2 linked regions of the Danio rerio genome follow. The protein of the gene in region 2 purifies or fractionates together with the protein of the main gene of each other region. This does not show direct contact. Links are inferred from orthologs where the notes say so. Each region holds a gene or a part of one and is shown on either strand. Other genes may lie near its edges.

Region 1 (4,231 bases), on a different chromosome or scaffold from region 2:
ATGAGCGATGCGCAGCACACAAACAGCATGGGAAGTAGTAGTGGTTTTATCAAATTATGTACATTTAGGGTTCTGTTTTAAATAGGTTCTGTTTGGTCCTATGAAACACTATTTAAACACTATTGAAGGTGTATGATGGTGATTCATGTCATAAGCATGGCAGGTCCATGAGAGTAAAATTGTGGATTTCTCTGGGTTTGAACATTCTTCAAAACATTTGGTATACTGCAAGTACAAAAGTCAAAAAGGTGGTACTGGACATTTCATTTATAGCACATTATTTTCTTCATTCTCTGTTTTCACCTGGGGATTCTTATCCCGAGGCGCCTAGATATTTTGCAGCACCATTAATGCGATCCTAGAAATGATGCCAAGGTCTTTATAATCCTGGACCAGGCCGAATCCTGAGCTGACGCTGCGGCAGTCATAGAGAGCAAAAGACTGATTCCTGAAAGACCCCAGTGACAGAAGAGCCTTCACATTGGTCCTGTGGGTTAGCCTAAGCACCCGCCGGTGACCTACTCACACCTGCAGTTCTACATAATGGACGTTCAGCATTCTCCAGCATCTGGCGCCTAGACTGCAGCTCTGCACAGGAAGTTTGGCCATGGTCATGCCCAATTGAGCCTAGTTTCTTTCAAGGTTTTTTTTTCTTCACTTTCATCAATTGGTAAAGTTTTTTTTCTTGCCACTGGCTTGCTTGGCTTGGGACATTTGCTCTTCAGTGTTTGGACTTTCAACAGTGAAATTTAAACCACACTGAACTGAAATAAATTGAACCTCAACTCTGAAAACTGGATTTAGAGTTTCAATCTACTAAAACTTCTATCTAGGTAAAGCTGCTTTGACACTGTCTACGTTGTAAAAGAGCTAAAGAAAAAGACATGAATTTAATTTTAATAGAAAAATTGTACATATTGTGCCTTTAAGTTTGCATATTTTATAATAGTATAGAAATGTTTTGATTGTTATTAACTTAGTGTTATTGTCTATCTATCTATCTATCTATCTGTCTGTCTGTCTGTCTGTCTGTCTGTCTGTCTGTCTGTCTGTCGCCAGAGATGGACAATAGAACTGATGGTAACATTGCGCGCTCTTGTACGGGAGGTTCTTGTCACATGAACAGGAAGTTCAGAGAGCGATAAGCAGAAGACGAGACCAAGTTCACTTAAAAGGGGTCTGCCATGTCATATTCCACAACAAAACTACACATTGTATACAATTTAACCAAATATCATAAAAGTGTTAAGCTCACATAATCTGCCAATGAAGCAAATTTTTATCCTTTTCCTTCAATTATGCTGTACATGAATCCTAACGCTCCAACAGAGCCCTGAGGTGCTCTCCGCGCACATGGTACGGTCCTTCTCTCGCTCGCAGTGGTTGGCGCCGGCTGCTTTGCACATGGCCGAGTGAGTAAAATATCTGGATTACTGCTGTGAAATTCACCACCACCTTCTAACCAGCACAGACCCACAGCAACCGATCTCTAAATGCGAGATACGGAGAACATGGAGGCCGAAATGGAGTATGACGATGAAGAAGAGCCTTCGTTCAGTGATCCGGAGGACTTCGACGATGACATCAGTGATCAGGGTGAGAGAGAGGCCTGCTTTAGCGCGCCTGCCGATCCCAGTCTCACACTAAACCCCATAGCTCAGCATGTCAGCCACGAGCTAACACAAAAATCCTTTGGTTTATTTGTGTGTCAATCTTTCAAGCTGATAAACTACGCTGTTTCACAGTTAATGCCGTTTTATGTTAGTCAAAGCTTCTCTTTAAGTCCAGCATGTGCGCGAACTAGACAAAAGCATCTTAGCAGTAGCTTTAGGGAAATAGACTAACGTTAGTGTCGTAACAGCATAGAGTCAGCAGCTGTTATGCTTTTGGCTTCAGAAACGTCATTGTACTGCCGTTTTGCTTTAACAAATGCTGTTGTGCTAACTGTACTAACTCTATCTGTGTGTTTTCTGGTCATTCAGAGCTGCTGGGGGATGTTCTCAGGGACAAACCGCAGGAGGCTGACGGCATCGACTCAGTCATCGTGGTTGATAATGTGCCTCAGGTCGGACCTGATCGCCTGGAAAAGCTCAAGAACGTCATTCACAAGATCTTCTCAAAGTTTGGCAAAATCACCAATGAGTTCTACCCTGACGCAGATGGAAAGACCAAGGGGTATGTTTGGGTCTGCTTGGTGCGTTTTGGGATGTAGGGATGCACCATTGGTGACATTTAATCAATAATTGATGCAATACGTAAGGGTAGTTCACCCAAGCATCAACATTTAGTCACTGTGAAGTTGGTTCTAAATGCTTGTTTTTATTTTTTCTAAAATTGTTTGGACGAATGTTGGAAACTAACCAATGATATCCGTAGTATGAACGTTTTTATGGGATTCTATGGCTTGCTGGTTCCAACATTCCTCAAGACATTTTCTTCTCTGGTGCTCGAGTAAATTACAGCATTTTCATATTGCTTGAACTATCTCTTAAATTCATTAGACACTTTATTATAAAAGAAAACAAATATTTAAGTAATCTGTCAAATGCCATTAAAACTAACTAAAAACCAATAATGTTTATTAGCAAAACACAAACTGCATTTGCAGAAAACTGTAACATTGCACAAATATAACTTATCTTTCTTCATATCTTATTATCTTCATATTGAAATCTGCAAGTAATTAACTGCTATTGGGCATCTCGATAAATGGTCTTAATGTGCTTCTTTTTTTTTTTTTAAACATATGCTTTCAAGTCTTTCTTGTAAATTTGGAAGTTCTCAGATAACAATTATTTTAATTTGACGTTACAAGTACTACTGTGTGTGACTAAAAGGCTTAAATGTATTGGTGGTTTAACCATTACAGAAAAAAAGAGGGCAGCTGTGGCACAAACCTTACATTTTTTTTATGGTCTAATAAAATGAGTTGAGCACAAACTATCTGTATTAGTTTTTAGGTTTCTGTTAAGGTTTTAAAGTGTATATGTGTACTAGTTATTAATGGCATGTTTGCAATGTTGTATATATTTTCTATGGATTATAGGACGTATTGACAGATCGCACTATTATGTCTTCTTTTTCATTCTTTTAAAACCTATTTATTCTTTGTTGATTTTATTTTCTTATACTTTTATTCCTGTTTATGTAAAACACTTTGAATAACCACTGAGTATAAAATGTGCTATAGATATAAACTTGTCTATAATAATTTTCCATGCTTTATCATTACAGGTACATTTTCCTAGAGTATTCTGCACCAAGTCACGCTCATGAAGCGGTAAAAAACGCTGATGGCTACAAGCTGGACAAGCAGCACACCTTCCGTGTCAATCTGTTCACTGACTTTGACAAGTAAGTTATCTTTTAGGGTCTGCAGTAGTGTACTGCAATAGGTTGCTTTAATGAAAGAACCTTTACAGTGTTGTATAATTTATACTCAGTATTGTCTATCATTTCCAGAATGCATTTTGGCAAGCTGTTTCTAATGCCTCAAACTTCATTTAGGGCAGATCAGTTCGTCTCTCAATTTAGCTTGAAATATATCAGGGCTGTGCAGATGCTGATATCAGTATTAAAAAAATCTATTAATATTTAATAGATTAATATTAAAATGTAATTTTTTGATACCTTTTGGGATATTTCACCCCAATTGTCGCCTTTCTTTTGCTTTAAGCAAATATTTCAGCTTCTTTCTTCTGATGAACAAAAATGAAGATATATTGCAAAAAGCTGAAAACTGGTAGTCATTGACTTGTATTTTTGTTTCACTATGGAAGGCATTGGCTACCATTATCCAACATTTTTAAAATATATTTTATGTTCGAAAAATAAACTCCTGTAGAGTTGGAACCACATGAGGGAGAGTAAATGGTGAGAATTTATGTTATTTTTGGGTGAACTTTCCTTTTAAATAAAGCATACTACTTGGACTGCATGATGTTGGAAATAACTGACGCTACAATGTTAGATTCTATGTTTATTGCAATATGAAAACAATTTGACAGGATATCTTTATTTAGAAAAGAATGTTTTATTTTTGAATGACTGGGGTGATTTTGCAGAGGAGTAACTCTGCATATAAATAATATCAAATTACAAATCATAAATTAATGGAATAAAACAAAGACCGAAGTAAAAGAAACATTGCTTGTTTTCTGGGCAGTCTTGACAGTATTCAGGGACAGAGCATAATCCAATTTAAAATATGTTACATATTCTATAATCTGTA
Region 2 (2,870 bases):
TTGCTTTCTCTCTCTCTCGCTCTCTTTCTCTCTCTCTCTGTTTGTGTGTGTATGTTAAAGAGCCGCTGAGCTAGCAGCTGACAGGCTGTCAGCATAAACGCTGTATTTCTGACGGCAGACACGTGAACTAGGAGAACGTTTTTCTCGTATTTCTGACGCGCTTGAACCACATGTGACAGATTATAACGGCTTTAACAGACACATTTCTAAGTTGTGTGTCACAAAAACACTCTGTTATCCATTACAAACGTTATTGAAACCCATTTTCGGAGTGTAAATAACCAGTTGTAAATGCTGTAAACGGAAGTTTTTAGCATTCTACAGGAAGACGCTGGTCGCTATGGTGCCCTCCATGCAGCAGCCATGAAAAAGGTCTATAGTAAGGACATTTCTTCTGTTGAACACAAGTAAATATTCTAAAGAAAGCTGGAAATCTGTAACTACTAAATTTAATGTTATTTGTTTTAAAGGTTTCCACCATTCTTCAAAATATCTTTTAATGTTTTTGTTCAACAGAATAAATAAACTTATAAAGGTTTGGAATCATTTGAGGGCCAGTAAATAAAAATTTTAAATGTTTTATTTTTTTGTGAACTATTCCTTTAAACGCATCCAAACAATCCTGTGCCTCATATGCTGTAGCTGAAGATTGAAAAAGTTTCATTGTGTTGTTCAGTGCTGTGGTGTTTTACTGAATGCTGGTTTCTGCTGTTCAGATTAATAAACAGAATGAACAGATGCACGGGCTGCTGGCCATCGCTCTCACCATGTACCCGATGCGCATCGATGAGAGCATTCACACACAACTGCGCGAGAAATACGGCGACAAGATGCTGCGCATGCAGAAAGGGTGAGAGAGACACACACATGCACGCACACAATACACACCACAGTAGTGACTGTGAATATAGATGTTTCTCCTGCATTTATTTGGTAGAGTGCAGTGAAGAATGCAATAATTTGAAGTTGTATTACAAGTTAAAATAAGTAATGGTTTTGTGAATATTTAAAAAATGTTATTTCTTTAATTTAAAGCTCTTTTTATTAGCATCATTATTCCAGTCTTCACTATAACATTATCCTTTAAGTCAGGGGTGTCCACACTCAGTCCTGGAGGGCCGGTGTCCTGGAGAGTTCAGCTCCAACCCTGATCAAACAAACCTGAACCAGCTAATCAAGCTCTTATTAGATATACTAGAAACTTCCTTGCAGGTGTGATGCAGCAAGTTGGAGCTAAACTTAGCAGGACACTGGCCCTCCAGGAACGAGTTTGGACACCCCTGACTTAAGGGATTCTTTAAGGGAAATCTGAGAAAATGTTCATCACCAAAGTGATTTTGCCTGGATAATTTCCTCCTGGAATTGTGTTCACAAGCATAAAGAACAAACATAAAGACTTCACTTTCCATTTTAATGTGAAGCAAATCTTTCCAAAGTTCACAAATAAAAGTACTATTGGTAACCTAGTAACCAGTAAACAATGCAAGCATAATGGAGACAGCTGATTGGTTACATGGAATGTAATGTCTCCTGTTTTATTCGCATAAAGAAATTTGCAAATAATTACCCATCCTTTGCTCATTTTAGAATAGAATTTAACTCCCTTCCTAAATTACCTTATCTTATTAAGAATAAAAAAGTAAGATTCCTGAAATAAACAGATGTATTTAAAGAAGATCCTTGATTTTAGCTGCTTTCCTTGTGGTTATTAGTTTGTGTCATTGTAATTTAATTCATTTTTTAACTTATTTTTTGTTTAATTTAGTAATTTTTTTTTTGTTTTGATTATTAATACTGTATTATTATTTTTATTTTTTAATGGTATATTATTTGTATTTTCATCAGTATGTATGTTTATTTGACAATTGTGTTTTCATACTTTTCAAGGCTAAAACAGAGCAAACATACAATTTTTTTTTTTTTTTTTTTTTTTTTTTTTTTTTTTGAATTACGGCATTTCTGTATGAAAATTGGCATTTCCATCACTTGTTTACCATGAGATGCTTCAAAATGTGTATTAACACAGGCTGATGGAAACAAAGCCAGTGGTGGTTGTTTCTTGTGTGGTCTGCTGCTTTGAGAGATGACACATTGCTAAAACCATTGCAATTGTTTGCAAGTGTTTTGTGCAATTATGCAATTATTCCGATTTCTTTTTCTTTTGTCACTCAGAGATCTGCAGGTGTTCGAGGAGTTGTTCAGTTTTGCCTGCCCCAAGTTCCTGTCGCCGGTAGTTCCAAACTATGAAAACGTTCATCCAAATTACCACAAAGAGCCATTCCAGCAGCAGCTAAAGGTGTTTGCAGAGGAGGTCCAGCAGCAGGCGCAGCTCTCCACCATCCGCAGGTACAGCAGTTCTCTGACGTCTTCTGAGGAACAATCTAATCAGTGTTTTTCTCCCAGCAAGGCATTATCAGATATTCATAAGGACACTGTGGATATTGTAATACTTGAATGTTAAATTTAGGTTTTTTCTTATGTTATTGAATTATATTTTCCTATTTTTGGTTGTGTGGTAAAAAATGTAATCTATGTTTAGGGATTTTTTTAAATTTAACAAAGTAATAATTTTGAGTATTTTTGCACTATTTTTTGGCCAGTTATGGATGAATGAATGACATTCTCTTCTGTAATTTATGCTACTTTTTTCTTTCCGCTACTATTTTTGTTGGCAAAACAATTGATTTTTAGTGATAGATATTAAGGCTGCACAATATATCTCAAAATTATCGTTATTGCTCGTTATGACAAAATCATTGTGGTATTTGAGTATATGTATTGCAGACATGTGTAATAAATCATATTTTTTTTATTATGCATTGTTTGTTTATCTAAATTTTACTAATCAATAAAGATGGGGCCTTGCTTTC

Evidence for each region. The genes of interacting proteins can lie anywhere in the genome.
Region 1: the proteins of eif3s6ip (region 2) and eif3ba purify together in Homo sapiens (affinity purification with mass spectrometry; 8 studies listed by BioGRID and IntAct, counting the BioPlex papers as one, with this or other methods). This does not show direct contact. The link is inferred for Danio rerio from reciprocal best matches to the Homo sapiens genes EIF3L and EIF3B.

Annotation. Positions count from the first base shown.
Region 1 is NC_133178.1:40,718,322-40,722,552, forward strand, and holds the start of eif3ba (eukaryotic translation initiation factor 3, subunit Ba), read left to right. Parts: upstream 1-1,363; 5' UTR 1,364-1,493; coding exon 1,494-1,596; intron 1,597-1,982; coding exon 1,983-2,175; intron 2,176-3,234; coding exon 3,235-3,354; intron 3,355-4,231.
Region 2 is NC_133188.1:46,821,936-46,824,805, reverse strand, and holds part of eif3s6ip (eukaryotic translation initiation factor 3 subunit L), read left to right. Parts: intron 1-716; coding exon 717-850; intron 851-2,172; coding exon 2,173-2,346; intron 2,347-2,870. UniProt on the Homo sapiens protein: Component of the eukaryotic translation initiation factor 3 (eIF-3) complex, which is required for several steps in the initiation of protein synthesis.